2 linked regions of the Arabidopsis thaliana genome follow. The protein of the gene in region 2 interacts with the protein of the main gene of each other region in a pairwise test. Each region holds a gene or a part of one and is shown on either strand. Other genes may lie near its edges.

The links.
Region 1: the proteins of MYB66 (region 2) and ATMYC1 interact in a two-hybrid assay, tested with the Arabidopsis thaliana proteins (2 studies listed by BioGRID, with this or other methods).

The regions. Positions count from the first base shown.
Region 1 is NC_003075.7:213,523-224,469, reverse strand, and holds ATMYC1 (basic helix-loop-helix (bHLH) DNA-binding superfamily protein), read left to right. Parts: upstream 1-4,688; 5' UTR 4,689-4,785; coding exon 4,786-4,934; intron 4,935-5,060; coding exon 5,061-5,348; intron 5,349-5,688; coding exon 5,689-5,785; intron 5,786-5,910; coding exon 5,911-5,925; intron 5,926-6,069; coding exon 6,070-6,126; intron 6,127-6,227; coding exon 6,228-6,716; intron 6,717-6,794; coding exon 6,795-7,205; coding exon of another isoform or gene 7,206-7,214; exon of another isoform or gene 7,215-7,236; intron 7,237-7,289; coding exon 7,290-7,350; coding exon of another isoform or gene 7,351-7,364; exon of another isoform or gene 7,365-7,428; coding exon 7,429-7,604; 3' UTR 7,605-7,658; downstream 7,659-10,947. Other genes in the region: BAM2 (beta-amylase 2), read right to left, coding at 67-285, 390-650, 778-942, 1,091-1,285, 1,387-1,590, 1,671-1,748, 1,821-2,048; AT4G00467 (Calcium-dependent lipid-binding (CaLB domain) family protein), read left to right, coding at 8,394-8,460, 8,543-8,608, 8,698-8,836, 8,933-9,068, 9,245-9,348, 9,528-9,624. UniProt on the Arabidopsis thaliana protein: Trancsription activator, when associated with MYB75/PAP1 or MYB90/PAP2.
Region 2 is NC_003076.8:4,761,004-4,770,328, forward strand, and holds MYB66 (myb domain protein 66), read right to left. Parts: upstream 3,821-9,325; 5' UTR 3,736-3,820; coding exon 3,591-3,735; exon of another isoform or gene 3,327-3,590; coding exon 3,197-3,326; intron 2,990-3,196; coding exon 2,653-2,989; 3' UTR 2,369-2,652; downstream 1-2,368. Other genes in the region: CA2 (carbonic anhydrase 2), read left to right, coding at 1-34, 160-276, 424-477, 735-820, 958-1,063, 1,215-1,379; AO (L-aspartate oxidase), read left to right, coding at 8,130-8,257, 8,437-8,788, 8,918-9,160, 9,243-9,299.

The sequences.
Region 1 (10,947 bases), on a different chromosome or scaffold from region 2:
GCAAGTTAAGATTTTGGCCTAAACAAATTAAAGCCAATCACTTGTATAAGTTGAAGAAGTTTTGACCTGCCAAACTAGACCTTCTGGATCTGCCAGAGCCTCTGGGAAATCCTCATGTTGATCAAGTGTCCGTAACTCCACACATGTGAAGTTGAGAGCAGCATCATGTTTCTTAAACATTGCAGCTATTGGACCATAGCCATCACGGTTTGAGGAGTTGTAGAAGCCAGCAGTGAGTTCAGCAGCATGACTAGCTGTTTTATACCACCAGTGTATACCTGAGAGCTGATTTCCAAAAATGGATAGACAAACAAATGGTTCTATCAACACAAGCCAGAAAAATATAGTATAATATAGTGCACTAGCCCCATCAATAGAGCTTTGTTTACCTTTGCAGCAATGCAAGTTCCTTCGAAAGCCAAATTTGCCATAGCAAGAACACGATCACCATGGTCAATCAGAACTCTTGAGTACCAATTAAGAAAGAATCTACCATAGTAGCTGTCATAATCGCCTCCATCGCGAAAAAATCCAGTCCCATGTGGTGTTGAATTATAAGTCTCTGTGTTATCAGGTCCTCTGCCCCAAAAGCTGTGGCCTCTTACTTCTGCAGCCTCCTTTAAGCTATTCATCAAATATTTATCATAACACTGCGCAGATAGGACAGCACAGCAGAGAAGATATATCGGTAAGTAAACTAATAAATTAGTTGTCCAAATAGCAATGTAAGATAATAATGTAATTTTGTATACGCTTATGATGCGTCAAAAAGATTACCTGGAATTCACCAATACCAGGGTATTTCCACCCAAATTGTGCAGGGTATGAAGGATACCTCAGCTCCCCACATGGACCTAGTCCAACTTCAATTTCAGGGATGATTTTCTCCTCAAAGAATTCATCAAATTCCACACGAAAGCTTCTCATGTAATCAAAGTAAACCTACATAACAAGTGATTTCATAGAGTCAGTAAACACTTCTTATTACAGATCAACTTCTCATTCTTCCTACTACAACTCGCTGCAGATTACATTCTTCGAATGATAATTTGCTACAGATTTTTTAGCATGGAGTAGTAGAAAGCCATACCTCAAGAGCAGTCCGTCCTCTTAAAACACGTTGCTTGTCAATTCCCCAAGTAAGGCATTCAGTGTTACGCCTGCCAGCACTGTCAGTGAAGTAGATGTCAGGATTGCTTTGACCAATTTCTCTCACCCACTCAGGGATTTGTATATGCACATCATCTCCAACATTGCCTCCACATTCGTGAAACGACATAACAACCTGAAGTCAATTCAAGTCAAGAACACTTTAAAAAGGTTCATCCTCAACTCTGCATATCTTTCACTAAACTGAACTGAGACTCATCGATCAAATAACATTACCTGAATCTTAAGTCCAAGCTCACGAATCATCTGAAAAAGTTTCTTGTAACCACTCCAGTTATAAACCTGTGGTGTATGTGACTCAACAATTCCCCACCAGCAGTCAACCATAACACCATCAACATTAACCGACTTTAAAGTTCTTAACTGATCCAAAAGCTCCTCCGGTTCCACCACTTCCGAGTTCATATCAATCACTCCCAGCTACATCATTCAACAGCCAAATCAACCAAACACACACACAAATCTCTAGCCAACAAAAATAAAATCAAAAGAAGACTCACTGGTAGCATAACATATACAGGAACACACGCTGTGCCAGCAAAATCACGCTCTTCGAAATGCACAATTTCTTCATCAACCTAACAAAACGAAGAGTAAAATTGATTCTGGTCACAAACGAGTGAATCATCCAAATGAAATTCCACACTTACGAGCTGATCAGTAGAATCGTCGTCGTCATCAATTGGAACTCGATCTTCCTCAGTACTCTCTGCTCTCAGTTTCACCTTCGCGAGAACCAAAGGCCTAGCACCGGAAAATGTAGAAACACCACGCCAATCTCCAACGCTGAACGGTAACGAGCTCCGAGCCGATACTCTCGTCGGAGCTCCAAGCTTCACGCTCACTGGAATTACACTATGATTCAACCTAATCGCCATCACTAAACCAAAATTATCTCAAATTCAGTTAAAATTGGATTTTCGTGGAATGTGAAATCAAAAGCCACGTGAAGGCTTATTCATGGGATCCAAGAATCATTGGTTGGTTCAAATCAATTTTGAAATCCTAAAAAAGTTTTCAGGATTCACTCAGATCCGTTGAGTACAAAAGGGTTTTGTCTTTTACCACTTTTTTTCTAATCCACGTGGCGTGACCTGACACGTCAGATAAGTACGCGCGTTGCAACTTTATCAAGGGGCTTTTGTGAATATTACTATGGGCTTTTCAGAATATATTATTGGGCCTGTAAAGTCACGTCACTAAAAAAAGTAGTTTATCTACATCAAATGTGTTTATTATTTAATAACTTTAGTGTGTTGTTGTACTTGCACGAGTGTATATGAATTTAGAATAATACTATCTTAAACAATCGGCTAAGCTATTTATAATCTGTAAGATTGATACTAACGATGTAACATTAATGTATTAATCCGAAGACAGTCGTGCATTGTAGTGGCAAATGTTGTATGTCAGATGTGTCGCGTCTGTAATCAATGCGCTACGTCTCTCTGTCTTAACAAAATCATTGAAGCTTTAAATTTGAATTTCATTATTTTACAATTGCATTTCTCTCGTAAGTCGTAACTTTCATATTCATTTTTTGAAGATTTTTTAAGGATAAAATGTGAATTACTATTACCAAAAGAAACATTGTTATTTACTTTGGGACAGCTTCTAGATATGGACCCCAACAAAAAAAAAAAAAAAAAAAACTGAAACTAATACAAGTCAAGACCCAACTATAGTAACTAGGTTTGGGTGAACCATTGGGACAACAATCTTCCACAACCTTTGCGATATTGTCACGGATGGTTATGTCAATCTGCCACAAAACAATCTTAGGAGAGAACTTGAAGTGTTGTGCAATCTCTCATTTCTTTCTCTCCGAAGAAAGAAAATTGTTGCTTGTATAATGAGAATTAAAGACTTCAAGTTCTCACTCAACTTTAAATTTATCTAACTTTTCTCTTTGTCGTGGTTCATGTCGCTTCTTTTTCATCCTGAATGCAATTTGATATAGGATCCCATTGGTTAGGATTGTATATGTTTTGTAAAATTTAGGGTAATATATAGACTTTTATACTATAATTTTATTATTATATACATTTAAAAAATGTCTAGGGCATCTAAAATTAAATTAATTGTTTCTATGAAAATAGAAAATATAAACACAAACATATGGCTATAATGAGTGTGTTGTGCCAACAGAAATAATTTATAAAATTAAACACAAAGTTTTGTCGTTATGGAAATAAATGTGCATGCAACCACAAGTGGTGCGTTACTAAATTATGTAGGGCTTCGTGGATAGAGATGGATCAATTATTATTTTCACGAGTTTCTTGCCTTCATTTCAGCCAGCTCTCTCCTGATCTTGCCTTCAATTTTATTACTATTTTTTTACTGCCACTTGCTATATTTACTTACTTCGGACAAAATAGTGCTTTGATGGTAAACAAATAACGATCGGTATATGCGATGTCTCGCGATTGATTATCAAACTTGAACAGTAGTGTGTATTTGTTTAATATATAATCTATTAGAGTATCATGGAATTATTCGGGTGAAATGCGCATTTATATCTATCATAGAAACTAGAATCTTCACTATCCAAATAGTATATTCCATTTTCTTGCAACTACGTATAACTACATTCTGTTTGTCATATATTTAAGATCGAGTAACAAAAAATTAATCATCTTCATTGATGTGAGCCAGACAAAGAGTTCAATTTTTTTGGTTGTTAAAGTATGTTGATACTTGATACGTTTACCAAAACACAAAAAAACAATGTAGGTCGATACGTTCCATTTCCACACAACAAGATAGATACAAATATATAATGATTGTAAGACAATAAGACCCCGACATGTCTTAACACGAAAAAAAAAGTAACTAAGTTTATATAAACCAACACAAGTTTAACTAAGAATCTAAGAATCTCTACTTTGTTGATTTCATAAGTGTATTCATCTAAATTAGTTATAAGTACAATGTAATATCAACATGTATTTATATTGTCTCTTGTTGGATATTAACTATCCAAACCAAACCTATAATATGAAATCATCAAAACATTAATCATTATGGTCAAACTATCTCAAGTTGTATTCTTTAAAAAGTGTCACGATAAACTCTAACATCATAGTGGATTTAAGACAACACAAATCCAAAAGAGTTAAAAAGATCGGTCTTAAATTTATGATTCATATCCATGCATGATGTTGGCCAATCACCTAGTATAGTAGTAATAACCAAGCTTTTGACTAAATGAATAGGAGGAAACAAAAAAACTATATTGAATCTTTCTTTTTGCAATATTTTTCAGCATCATCACTAATTTAGAGAATATTTTACCTTGGTTTTCACCAAATAGAATCCAACACTATTACCATATGTATTGTATAAAGATAAGTCACTCCAAAAACCAAGATCATGACCCAAGTCAACCACTCTCTCTCATAATTCAGACACAGTACTCAACTTTAAAGACACTCTTTTAAGACTTTCCATCAGGACCAAGCTGAGAAAGAGAAAGCAATAAAGAAAGAAAGAAAAGGAAATAAAGCTTCAATACCAAACCCTTCTTTAATAAATTTTGCCTTTTGGTTGTCTCCTCTTTATCAATCACTTTGGTTCCATACTTTTAAATTCAGTTCTTCACGATATCTAGATATGTCTTTGACAATGGCTGATGGTGTAGAAGCTGCAGCAGGAAGAAGTAAAAGACAAAACAGCTTATTAAGAAAACAACTTGCTTTAGCTGTAAGAAGTGTTCAATGGAGCTACGCAATCTTCTGGTCGTCTTCACTTACTCAACCTGGGTAAGTATAATCTAATATTCATCATGTACCAAAATTATCAGATCTTGTTGTTCTCATCTTTGCATTTCCATTTTCTCTTCTTTTAAATCTTGGGTTACTTATGAGTACTATGTTCTACTAATTTAGGGTTTTGGAGTGGGGAGAAGGATGTTACAATGGAGATATGAAGAAGAGGAAGAAGAGTTATGAATCTCATTATAAATATGGGTTGCAAAAAAGCAAGGAGCTTCGGAAACTTTATTTGTCTATGCTTGAAGGAGACAGTGGTACTACTGTTAGTACTACTCATGATAATCTCAATGATGATGATGATAATTGTCACAGTACAAGTATGATGCTGTCACCAGATGACCTCTCTGATGAAGAGTGGTACTATTTAGTCTCCATGTCCTATGTCTTCTCTCCTTCACAATGGTTTGTTCTCTCACTCTCTCTCTCTCTTCTCCTATGAATTTGTACACTAAAATATATTAGCTCTTGTGAACTATTCATATAGAAAAACCAATTTGCAATAAAGAAGTAATGAGAAATGTCCTTTCATTTTAAGATGAAACATCCATCACTTTGGGTAAAGAGTTTAGTACCACCAAAACCATTTGGTAAATAGTGGAGTGATTATTCCTTTGGGGTTCCTTTTTGTTACACTTTCACCTTTTGCATTTTAAGTAATCCTAGATTAAGTTTTTTTTTTCTCTTTTATGATCATTAATTATTGTCATTTTGGCTTTTTTGGTTGTTTATGTATATACTTTAGTTTGCCTGGAAGAGCTTCAGCGACGGGTGAGACCATATGGCTCTGCAACGCTCAATATGCGGAGAACAAGCTCTTCTCTCGTTCTTTGTTAGCAAGAGTAAGTTCTCAGAAACTTCTAATTTCCTCTTCTTGAATCTTGATATATCAAGATCGAATCTGACTAAAAATCTCCTTTGATCTTCTTTGCTTTTCATTACTGTTCATATGGCTTCTCTCCTTTAGAGCGCATCAATTCAGGTACGTTATAATGTTTGTTATAACTGGATTCTGATTGTTAGAAATAAAAGTTTAGTTCTCTTATTGTTAGAAATGAAAGTTTAGTTATCTATATATCAATTTGGATAGAAGATTTATAGAATGTATCTGTGTTGTTATCTCCAGACTGTTGTGTGTTTCCCTTACTTGGGCGGAGTCATTGAGCTGGGCGTCACTGAATTGGTAACTCTCCATCTTAATATATAAAGTTTTACTTTTGTTGCTTGCTTCACAAGAATTAAATATACCTTACTTTGTTTAATTTTGTTCATGATCAATGAAAGATTTCAGAAGACCATAACCTGCTTCGAAACATCAAATCTTGCTTGATGGAAATATCTGCACACCAAGACAACGATGACGAGAAGAAGATGGAGATTAAGATCAGTGAAGAGAAGCATCAGCTTCCATTAGGTATTTCTGATGAAGACTTGCATTACAAAAGAACCATTTCAACAGTACTCAACTACTCCGCAGATAGATCAGGTAAGAACGATAAGAACATTCGTCATCGTCAGCCAAATATTGTTACTTCTGAACCTGGCTCAAGTTTCTTGCGGTGGAAGCAATGTGAGCAGCAAGTCTCGGGTTTTGTTCAGAAAAAAAAGTCACAGAATGTGTTGCGGAAGATATTGCATGATGTCCCTTTGATGCACACAAAGAGAATGTTCCCAAGTCAGAACTCTGGTCTGAATCAAGATGATCCTTCAGATAGAAGAAAAGAGAACGAAAAGTTCAGTGTCCTTAGAACTATGGTTCCCACTGTCAACGAGGTAATAACTCTTTTTCTAAATCCTTAGAGACAAGACTGTGTTTCAGAAGCCAACACTCTGTTTTGAATCTTTGTGCAGGTTGATAAAGAATCGATACTAAACAACACAATCAAGTACCTGCAAGAACTGGAGGCAAGAGTAGAAGAGCTAGAATCTTGTATGGGATCAGTTAATTTTGTAGAAAGACAAAGAAAGACGACAGAGAACCTTAACGACTCTGTGTTGATCGAAGAGACATCAGGGAACTACGATGATAGCACGAAGATCGATGACAATTCAGGAGAAACCGAACAAGTCACTGTTTTCAGAGATAAGACACATTTGAGAGTTAAACTCAAAGAAACAGAAGTTGTGATCGAAGTAAGATGTTCTTACAGAGACTACATAGTTGCGGACATCATGGAAACTCTGAGCAATCTTCACATGGATGCTTTCTCTGTTAGATCTCACACGCTCAATAAGTTCCTCACATTGAATCTCAAGGCCAAGGTAAATTAATCTTACTGATGTTTGGAAAAGGCAGATTTGGGTTTTCTTGACTTACACGTAACGTTTTTGGGTTTATGCATGCAGTTTCGCGGGGCTGCAGTTGCGTCCGTAGGAATGATTAAGCGAGAGCTGAGAAGAGTCATTGGTGATTTGTTTTAATGTTCTTCTTAGTAAAAATTCTTATATTTTCTTAAACTTTTGATGAAATGTTATATTTATCTAGACTTTCGTGAACCGATATGCGATGTGCCATTATCTTTACATCAAGTTTTCAGGGTTTTTGTATGTAAAGTTTGCCAAAGTTTGGTTGGAATTTTCGACAACGTTGTCTCTTCCTCTTCTACAAAACCAAGATCTATACTTATTCATAATTCATGGGCGATTTGTATCTTTCATTAATGATTGTTTTGAGCTATTATATTATTTGTATTGATAGAAAAAAATAACCAATTGGCTTTGGCTCAACTTCTTTCCCGTGAAGAGGATGGATCATATACATATCCTATTGTAATTTGAATGAACCCTATTGGGTCAAGGATCATGATCTCATGGGAAAGCTAATGAGCTTTATCCACCTCAAAGCCAATTGGTTACTAATGCTTGAACTAAATCTGTCTTATATACTAGCTAAAATTTCCATATGTTTCCGATGTGGGATTTGTTAAAGTTACTAATGCAATTTTTCTGCCGACATTATCATAATAAGTTGTACCTTAAACCTCAAGTAATTGATTTGGTCCTCATAGGCTATTAGGTTTAGTGGGCTTTTGGGCCGTATTAAACCCGTTTGATTAGAAAAGCTAGCGCTCGCCAAAAGCCCTAAACTTGTCTCGTAGCCTCAACCTCTTGATATTATGCTTCGTTTAGGTCGTCATGTGTGATTCTGTGCTTCAGTTTCTTTCTAAATCCTTAAATAAACGGATTGATATTTACTAAACGGAGGATAATGTAACTTGAAAAGGTATTTATTGAAAACTGTTGATTCTTTCTTGAATGCATAATTAATGGTGTTCTCTTGTAACTCATAGAGCCTCCAAAGAAGTAGTAAATGTTATGGTGCGTTATAAAATTTGATTGTTTCACTTGCATTATATATCTCCAATTGATGCAGCCTTCACGCTAATTACCATACACTACTTCTTAATTTCTTAAAGTCTTTTGAGTATTTGATTTTCTTGGATGTCACATATGAAGAGAGGGATATTGGAAGTATTTCTCATTGATGCTCATGGAATCACACACACAAATTTTATCGGTGATTATGAAAAGACAAAACCTTCTTCATATATGTTATATATCAAACTAAAATCGTTATTTTTAATCATTTTGGTTTGTAGGAACTCCTGTGTATTATGTGCTCTTACAATGTGGGACAAAGGAATACCGTAGCAAAATGTCAAAAGGTTCAAGTTTTGTTACTCTTTAGTAATTTTGTTTTTCCTCTTAGCCAAATGTATATTAGAAAACATTTTTGGCTCTTTTATGAAAAAAGGTGATAATGACAATGCATTGTGGAACCAAAAGTTTGTTTTCGATTTCCCGATGTCTCAATGGAAGAAACTGACCTATATCAAATTAAGAATCTTGGACAAAGAGCTCTTCAATGATGGTGGATTTGTCGGTGAAACCATGTAAGTTTTGCTTGCAGAAACTGAAGTTAATGTGGTTTAGCATTAGCAATATCACATATAGTACCATCCTTTTGTTTGTGACTCTTTTTGGTACAGAATTCATCTCGGAGGCATAATAACCGAAGGGCGTGACAGAGGATACATTGAAATAAAACCAGCTCCATACAATGTTGTTCTTGAGGACGATACTTTTAAAGGTGAACTAAAAGTCGGATTGAGATTCATTGCAACAGTAAGTAACTCGGTAACTATCCTAGAATTTCATGAGAATCTTTGTGGAGACTTATTAATCTTAGGTTCATCTTTTTACTAGTACTTTTTGGTGTTTGAGCACATTGAAATATTCAAGAACATCGACAATAACATATAATCTCAAAATTTCTCAAGAAAATTTATTTATTTTTGTAGGATAAATTGCAGAGGAAAGCATGGGAGCTGAAGATGGAGGCCAAAAACAGTGAAGAACTAATGATTTCTCCAATTCAGAATCTGATGAAACTCCCATTACTAAGGTTTCTGCTCTATTGCTTTCGGAAAACAAAACAATATCAACTAAAAGAGAACTAAAATGATTAAAAGGGTTAGCATCAAAACTCTATTAAATTTTGTTTCCAATAATTTTCTATGGTTCGGGCCTGTCAAGGAAAGCGATGACATTTATTTGATTTCTAAGTTTGTGCAAACATTTTAGGTTTATAGCTGCATGGGCAAGAAGGCAATGTCTCATCAATGCAAAACTACTTTATTGTTTCGTCGACTATAAGAAATGCCTTACTCCTTATTCGTAGCTAGGGTTTCTCGATCAACCCTTTCACGGTATCGTGATGGGCAAGAATACGAAACTGTTGATGACTTTAATCTTTTTCACCTTCAATCTTTTAATGTAATGAATGGTCTACATTTATATCTTTTGATGTAACATTTTTCTTACTTTCATTTAATTTTTCAACCCATATAATTACTAATTTTTTGCTACCTAGTTATATGTATGCATTGTCTATACTCCTTAGTTCACTTTCTATTAACTAAAATTTGTTGAATATGTTAGACATACTTATATTAAGTTTATTTTTAAAATATAAGTATATGGAACATATCTCAACAAGTAAATAAAGGTGTATATGTTGAAACTTATTAATATTGTATAATATCATAGTCCATAGTACACTAAAATAATGACCCATAGATTAAGTAAATGCGTAAAATGCGTGTACAACGAGAAAATGGGACGCACGTCTGTCTAACGCACGAACCATGCAAATATATACTTGTCTTCTCCATTACATTAACTTATCATGTGCTAAACTAAATTATAACTATACAACTCAAATTGAAACCATAATACATTACACTAATATAAATATTAACCTATTATGAGTTGCGGTTCATCGTGTAGGCTACATGGGGATAAGCCAATCTCCAACCATGTGATAATTGGTCTAATTTAATAAACGGTTGACACATAGAATTAAAATAAAATTCCCAATGGAGGTGTTACTATAGACCGACCAAAGATTACTTCTTAAAAATATAAAGGTCAAGGGATGATATATACATTGAACATTCACCCACATCTCATCTTCAATCAAAGATATTTTCATATAATTGAATACATATATGGGGTTCAACAAATTATAATTCTAAATTTACATTAGATGTCTAAATTCGTAAAAGTGAAAAGAAAATATATATAAATTGATCATTGGTCGAATGTGCAATCATCAATAACTAAACATATGTATAATTTCCCATTGGAGCTAATAATTTATTTGTGGGTGTGGAGGGATCCAATAATCAAAATGAAAAATTCTGATTGAAAACTATAGTCTATATTTTAAGCCAACAAGAAAATGATAAAGTATAGTAGCCAAATAGACAAATAGGTGTTAAAGAGGTATTTGTATGATTTCTCATAGAACCAAAAACACTTGTTGAAGCCAAGGAAAAGTCACTTCAATTCATCGTCTGGATCGTACGATCAGTCTACCTTCCTTTCATCGGACGGTCCACATTTACTCCATTTTCCGGTCGCCGGCTTAAAGAACGATTTCGATTCAACCGGAGGGAATTTGGTTTTTTTATTAACGTTCAAATTTTTTGCTTTAAACGTA
Region 2 (9,325 bases):
GTATGGTGAGCTCGCCAAAGGTCAAAGCCCAAAGGTAAAACAAAAATAAGAAGAAAAATATATAAAGCAGTTGATGAAAAATATAGTTATCTCTATATGAATATGTTAGATTTTTCTTTTGGACTCATATTATATGGTCATATACTATGAATTGTGCAGTACATGGTGTTTGCTTGTTCGGACTCACGAGTGTGCCCATCACACGTACTAGACTTCCATCCTGGAGATGCCTTCGTGGTTCGTAATATCGCCAATATGGTTCCTCCTTTTGACAAGGTAAACACTTTATACACTACATTAATTTACATCGCTAATTTATTCTTGAACATTCTGACTCAAACAGAGTGTTTGACTTTGATTTTGACTTATGAAGTCATAACATGGCTTTTCTGTTTTTTTTTTCCTTTATAAAAATAATTACAGGTCAAATATGCAGGAGTTGGAGCCGCCATTGAATACGCTGTCTTGCACCTTAAGGTCAAAATCTCTCCCTCAATAATCAATATATACATTCTTCTCTCTTTAGATTGTTTTGTGTTTTTTCCTAAAACTTGCTTGACTCATAGGATGCATGTTAGTTTATATGTATCAATGTTACTTATTACTCCGGTTAAGGCGATGAGTATATGGGCCTTATTGGGCCGTTCTGTATTTAGTGTGTTGTGATTTATGTGATGTGAGTATATTATCCATCAATACATATGTTGATGTTTATTGAAAATTTATGAATGTAGGTGGAAAACATTGTGGTGATAGGGCACAGTGCATGTGGTGGCATCAAGGGGCTTATGTCATTTCCTCTTGACGGAAACAACTCTACGTAATAAATTTTCTATGTTTGACATTTATAAACTAGTAAATTATAACAAAGTTGTTTCACAAGATTTACTTTTTAGGAGAAATGGTAACAAAGTGTTTTTGTGGGTAGTTATAATGATATGTTTACTTTAATTGCAGTGACTTCATAGAGGATTGGGTCAAAATCTGTTTACCAGCAAAGTCAAAAGTTTTGGCAGAAAGTGAAAGTTCAGCATTTGAAGACCAATGTGGCCGATGCGAAAGGGTACGTAATACTCCATTTATTTTTTCAGTTAACACTTTATTTATTCATTAGAATCATAGATAGTCATCAACCTTAACAAAAATATAAATATTGGATAATTAAATTATCTTTATCGGAAATGTTTTCTAATATGAATGTATGAATATTGCAGGAGGCAGTGAATGTGTCACTAGCAAACCTATTGACATATCCATTTGTGAGAGAAGGAGTTGTGAAAGGAACACTTGCTTTGAAGGGAGGCTACTATGACTTTGTTAATGGCTCCTTTGAGCTTTGGGAGCTCCAGTTTGGAATTTCCCCCGTTCATTCTATATGAACTAACACATCACCATCACCATCGCTACCACCACCATCACAAACATCATCATCGTCGTCATCATCATGATCAGCATCTTCATATATAAATGTTTTACTCTTATTTAATTGCTACTTGTAATGGTATACATTTACTTGCGATGAGCTTCTTTTCCTTCATTATCCAGTTATAAAATAAATAAATAAATCATGTTTACTTTCACAGATATCGTTTTGCTGAAGTTGCTTTGATTTACAACACGAGAGAATAACAAAATCGTATAAATTTTATTTATTTGTCAAACGAAAATTTGAGAAATGGAAATGTTATTTTGCTATTTTCATTGAATGTTGCGTTGTACTATCTATATTAAAAATGTTAAAACCGTTTGTCTTGATTAGAGATATGGCTACTATAGTATACATTAAGATTGATACTAACCTCTTCATTTCCATTATACTTATACATGACCAACATGTCCCCATGTCGATAATCGAAAACCTTCCTTTAGAATTAGAATATATATACTACTATAGTTTCATGCATTGTATATAACTGTCTGAGCAATTATAATCAAGGAAGGAGTGGGGGACAAGCTTTCAAAGAACATATTAAAAACCAAAGACACAGAACATAAATTAAACTATTAAGAAGGGGGACAGCTTTGTCATAGCAATTTATAGAATTTTTTAGGGAAGTGTGACAATTTGACCCATTATATTGTCTGACTAGTATTAATTTTGTTCGTTTCAAGTAAACTCGCCAGGGCAATCAAGGTTTCTGTCTAATTTCTCGTTTACATACACATTAGCATCGTTTTAACTACAATCGAAATTTAGTTGACAAAAAGGTACGTAGTAGTATCCACTTAATTGGAAATTTCTTCTTTTCAAATTTGAAGATTAATTAAGGGACGTACGTCTCAAAGTAAAATAAAAATAAAAATAAACTATACTCCTTCTAACCTACCGTTATCGTTCGACTCTTTTAATTTTAGCTTATATCTTGAACCAACATTTAATAAGATTATATGAACAATTCACAAAAGAAAATCCAAAATTTTGCTTAGGAAGAAATTGAAGAAACATTTAAAACATTAATCGATGCATATAGAGTTTTTAAGCATATACATTAGAGTTAACCCAAGAAAGTTCACCTAATTAATAGACTTAGCCAATCATACACTACCACATCAACAACTTTTAATCTAAGACTGTTGATGTATTAGTGTTTGATCAGCTTTGAAAATAACAAAACATAAACGAATACTAAAATAACAAAAGCAGAAAACACATCAAAAACAGTGTCCATCTATAAAGTCCATCATGTTGGTGAGTGTGCTAAGCTCAAACTCATCCTCATGAACCCAAAGTGAACTCAAGTAGTTACTTCCTTGATGATCTTCTTGAATTTCATCTCCGAGGATATTATTGTTATCGACAATATTCGAGATTTTCGTTTCTTCTGATGTTTCGGTAGGATTCGGGAGATTGATTTGATAAACAATATCACCATTGCTCTGTTTGGTTTTCTGATCTTTGATTCCGAGTTTCTTACTAAGATGCGTGTTCCAATAGTTCTTCACTTGATTATCCGTTCGACCCGGCACTCTTTTAGCAATTAAAGACCACCTAATTAAACACACAGATAAACAATATAATTATCATGTGAAATATAATGTATTGAAATTTTGAGAATAAAAACATGTGTTACCAAGCAAGTTTGTGAAGACAATCACGAATATTTATGATTATTTAACTTGATACAAAATGGATAGAAATAGCTGTTTTTATGATTAATTGAGTAGAGAAACTAATTTTGAGCAAATGAAGTTATACCTATTACCAAGCAACTTGTGGAGCCTAATGATAAGATCCTCTTCTTGCTCGGTGAAATTGCCTCTTTTCACATTAGGGCTGAGATAATTCATCCACCTCAATCTACAACTCTTTCCACATCTCTTTAAACCTAACACACATATACAATTATTTAACTGAGGACCTTAATTCATAAAAATAAAAACAACAAAAAGGTGACCCTAGATAAATATCCTGATTCAAGTTGCTTTTGCGATATATGGACTCTATTAACATAGATTAAAAGTTAAATCTAAAATAACATATATAATATATAGAACCTTAACTTTAAACCATTCGTAAAAGAAAATCATGTGACAAAGAATTCATAAATTATGTCAATACGATTAGAGAGAGAGATAGAGAGGAAAGAGACCAGTCTTTTTGGCAATACGATTCCAGTGACCTTTGCCATGAGCTTTGACATAATCCATGAGGATTTTGTCTTCTTCTACTGTCCACAAACCTTTCTTGTACTCATTGTTTCCTTCGTCACCACTACTACTTACTTTCTTTCTCATTCTTTTTGTTTCTTTGAATGATAGACGAGAGAGATCATAAAACGAGAGAGATAAAGAGGTTCTTTTGAGTAGTTATTTGACGGAGTTATTAATAGTAGTACTACAAGTTCAGAACCTAGTGGAATATTTATGTATAAAGTATGAATAATATTTAATAAACGATATACTATTGGTATAAATACAAGTATTAATGATTATAGACTTATTTTAGATATTGACATAAGGTATTGATTGTGTCTAGCATGTGATGATGATATGTAAATAATAATGGACTTCTGAGATGCAAGCTGGTAATTACTGATACGGATTAGTTTAATGACTTAATCTAGATTTCTAACTAAAACATGAAAACATGGACCGGTTAAGATGGTCTTGGGAGACACAAAAATCACGTGTATGTTTTAAAAAGATTCGGCTTTGATCTTAGAGCTTTTCGGCATCGAAGTTTCATGTGTCAGGGCTAGTGTTTATATATCTTCTTGAACCTTGATTAATTGAAATGAATCATAAGTATTTTTCTTTTTTAAGAGATATTAGACCGAAAATATCAGGGACACCATTATAGTTAAACTTATGAAACCCAAAGTGTTTTGAGACCATTGCAAAAGACTAGATACACATCGCAAATATAAAGGAGGTTGTGAAGGTTCTTGCCGCAACCCATTGGAAGGTGAGAAGGATAGTAACTGGCTGGCTCTCATAGTTCCATCAAATTTTTTATGTATTGTTTCTCAACTAACCATTAATTATAATAGTGTTGTTATTTTCATCAAGTAATAGTAGTTGTTCGTTTTGAAGTTTAGATACTTTATTTATGAGATACCAAGTTTATATGACATCCTTTATCAGAAAATACATTGATTAGAAAATGAAATGCCTCGTCATTTTTTATAATTATTTTGTAGAGTGATACCCTTGGACCAACGTCCGGGAATCTTGGATTAAACGATTTCCTAGAGTTAATTTTGTAAATTTGGTTACTAATTAAAAAAAGAAAAATGTACAATAAGTAATTGATTAGTGGCATGAGAGTTAGGAATTGTAGTTAGGGGAGATATTCAATTAGAAGATGGTTTGACACTTTGACTCTCTTGGGATTAGGATTCTTCACGGGGAAAAAAAAACAGTGTTATTGTTAGAAAGAAAGAGAGAATAGAAGCTCCTTCTCTTATCATTAAAATTTCTTGATCTCTGTGCCCCCACCAAATATCTTTAATTTACGTATAGATACTATTACTATTGATTATTGAATTTATAATCACGTATATTGTTCATATTTTTTTTCTGTCACATAGCATGTGCGATGGATATTTGAAATTTCCAATCTGTGTTGTAAGCAAATATTAACTTTGTTTGAAAAAAAAGAATTTATTTTGTTGATATTTTTGCTATTGTACATCTTGTTTTGCTGACTTATTTATTCAAGATTAACAAAATGATTTTCTTTTCAGTAATTGACTATATCAGTAATCTTATCAGCAATATGACAAACAATAATAATAAGATCCATAATTAATATTTTGCATCCATAACTAAGAATTAGAGTTTTCTGCATACAAAATTCGAATGATCTATTTGGGCATATCACATATCCAATGATACTTGTACATGGTTTTTTTAAAAAAAATATTTCTTCCTAATGAAAGAAAAACAGAGGCAATGATATTTTGATATAGCTGGCACATTTAAAATTCTAGACATATTAAACTCTTAACGCTGGAAGTTGAGGCAATATATAAGAGGGGTAGTAATTTTATATACAACATTTTATTGTCATAACTATATAAGAGGAGTGTGTATTTTTACATATAAATGTTATAATTAATTATGTCGTAGAATGTATGATTGAGGAATTTGATGGACCTAAGTACCTAACACTCATTTATTCACAATCTTATCATTTAATTTTGTTTGATTCTAATATCAGGTTTGATATTCTATACATGGCCAAGGAATTTGTGATTCACAAGTTTACCATCTTTTCAAAATCATGTAATGATTTATGCTACGAACTAAATGATATATTTAAATAGACTTTATTTATGTTAATTATATAATATGATAAATATAGCTAATTCTTATTGATACTAATTATATTGTTGAGGTTCTATCATTAATTTACGTGGTGAAACTGCAATTTGATTTGCGGAAATGATCTTATATCATTAGAAGGAACAACTAGGACACTGCTCTTTTACATATGTGCGAGTTTTACCAATAAGATATTGACTAACTACGAGACGAACATTAGTATTTGCTAATGTGTTTCGCTGATTTTCTAGGTTTTAGTCGTGACGTGAAATTCAGTAAGAAGCACAACGAAATGCCATCGGCTCATGTGTGTGAAAAAATTAAAAATTTATGGGCTGAACAATTCTAATTGCATGATGATTCGGGTTTAATTTAGGCCTCTGGAAAATCCAGGGCTTATTTCCATGCAAAATCTTAGGTCAGTATTGGGCCCGCCTTTCAAAAGCCCAATTTTAATTATTCGTTTTTGTTGTCCGATAAAAAATCCAGAAGAAGTCATCTCTCCCCTTAAAAACGGTAGTCAAAACTAAAAGACTCAAAGTGATTTCCAGTAAGTTTTGTAGAAAATAAAATAATTGTGGCCATTGGAGATTTAGCAAGGCTCATGGAAAAGTGATTGTTCTTTTTTCCCCATGATTCTAGTTATAAGGCCATCCTTGATGCATACATCAACACCATGACTGGTCCAAAATAGCATAGGTCTAAAGATGATGAAGCAAATGATAATCAGTTTATTCCGATAGAAGCAAATGAGGATGTCATCAATTGTGGATGTTATACCTGATTAGTTAAGCAAACCATTAGCACTATGTTTAGTTAGAAAAGAAGGAAATTATGATAGCCATAAAAATGCCAACATTTTCCCTTTTAAATTGCATTCGTGGTTTTTGAAATTTTATTATTTAATTAATTTGTTTTCTTTCAGTTGTCATTTGAATGGTTATCATAATTCGGTCTTATATTATTGATTTTTATTATTCGTTAGGTTTTTTTCAGTTGTCTGATGGAAAATTCAGAAGCCACCACTTACAAATCAAAAGTATAAAAAAAGACTCAAAAGAAGACTCCAAAATCCAAATAGTTTTTCTCCATTTTTTTTTTCTTTTTCCAGAAATTATAGTTATAGAAATAAATAGTTGTGGCCGTTGGAGATTTGCATTGGCCACGAGTCATGGAAAAGTGAATGTTCTTTTTCCATGATTCTTCTAGTCGGTCATGCTTGGTGCATGTATGAACACATATTTAAAGTTCTATACAAGTTGTTAGAATTCTTTTAAATTTAATTTGCTTTATTTATTTTTTTAGTTTTAGTTTTGGAAAATCATGGTCACACATCTTGAGCTACCGTTGTTATTTATATATAAATGTTCTTAATATTAAAAAATTATGAACCACAGGGCTAATAAACTTGAATATTTGTAGGGTCAATGGCTTTATTAATGTGTATATTTGTAGAAGAAAGCTGGGAAATATTCTATAAGTAAATTATCATCTTATACACTAATTTTTTAAAAATCCACGCCTAGTAATAAATTCCAATTTTTTTTAACTCAGTAATAAATTCCATTTTTTATTAAAAGTTTATTTCATAGAAGTACTTTTTTTTTTATGTGATAAAAGAAAAACTGAAGAAGGCCAATGAAAAATGAAGATCCCAAAGACATAAAAAGTGACAAAAGAGAAGAATAAAGAAAGACCAACAACACCACTTGGGGGAGGCTCCCATACACAAAACGAAGGCGCGAATTTCAAGGACTCTTCTCGACGACCAAACCACATAAAACACTCTTACCAGAATTTGTGTTGTCTTCGTTCATTTCCTTCTCCTCTTCTTCTTCTTCTTCGTCGTAATTTTGATTGTTTCTTTGCGAAAAGTCGTTTTTTTAATCAAGTCTGAATCACGTTTTATTGATCTACACTCGCGTGGGTTCTCCGTTTCGTGCTTAGATCAGAGAGCTCCCTCCCGTGATTCCGTAAGATTTCTGCGTTTCTCATTACTTGGTTTCATTTCAACGTAGATTCTGAATTTTGTGTGATCTAGTCTACACATTTTTTTTTAATTCTTTCCTCTGCTCCTAAATTCCAGAATTCAGACAACGGTTGCGATATTTCTTATGTCTTTTTTTCTATCGTTGTTCATTTCAGAAGTTTCGATATAAAAAAGGTTATTGTTGGATTTTGAGTAACACATTGTCCTCAATTCTCATCGTTCTTCAATCAAATTTTGGATTTTGAGCATCATGGATGATGGATCTATGCATTTTGATTTTATATTGTACAGAAAGAATGTTTCTTGTTTTGTTTTGATGATGTTTTCTTATGACAACAATCTTCATGTTTTTGTAGGAGCTTTAAGGTCGGAAATGGCGGCTCATGTTTCTACTGGAAACATTCATAATTTCTATCTTGCGGGGCAGGTTTACAGGGGACAAGCTTTTTCATGGAGTTCTGCTTCTACTTTCATGGCAAATCCATTCAAAGAGCCCTCTTGGTATCACTTCTTTTAATCTTTAATCCCAAATTTTGTCCCTTTTGTGTAGCAATTGGCATTTTGAGGTTCATGTTTCTCATTTATGATTTTGCTCTTTGTTCTCATGTAGAACTTTAACTAGTTAGACCTATAGTTTCTCATGCTGGACTCAAACTTTTATAATCTCTGTGTGCATATAGGTCAAGTGGGGTATTTAAGGCTCTAAAAGCTGAGAGATGTGGTTGTTACTCTCGTGGTATTTCCCCCATCAGTGAGACCTCAAAACCTATCAGGGCTGTTTCGGTATCTTCTTCAACAAAGTATTATGATTTCACTGTGATTGGTAGTGGAGTAGCGGGTCTGCGTTATGCTTTAGAAGTTGCAAAGCAAGGAACAGTCGCAGTGATTACCAAAGATGAGCCTCATGAGAGTAACACAAACTATGCTCAAGGTGGTGTTAGTGCTGTGTTATGCCCTTTGGATTCTGTTGAAAGTCATATGCGGGACACTATGGTCGCTGGTGCTCATCTTTGTGATGAAGAAACCGTAAGAGTAAGTTCCCTTTGTTGCTGATCATTACCTCAAAACTGTTTGATAAGTGCTTGTGTTAGTCTCGTGCATAAGCATTTTGTAATGGTCTAAACCTGTCTCACTTTTCTGTATCTGAATGTTCTTTTTCAGGTTGTGTGTACTGAAGGGCCTGAAAGGATTCGTGAACTGATTGCAATGGGAGCATCATTTGATCACGGCGAGGATGGAAATTTGCATTTGGCCAGAGAGGGTGGTCACTCGCATTGTAGGATCGTTCACGCTGCTGATATGACAGGAAGAGAGATTGAGAGAGCTTTACTTGAAGCTGTACTTAATGATCCCAACATATCTGTCTTCAAACACCATTTTGCAATCGATCTGCTCACTTCTCAGGTTCCACTTCACACCCTTGAAAAACACATGTGCATATATGATCAATTGGCTTATCAGATCATATCTTTTTGTATCTTAACAGGATGGCTTGAACACAGTTTGTCATGGTGTGGACACTTTGAATATCAAAACTAATGAGGTACACAAAGATCTTGTTTCTGGTGG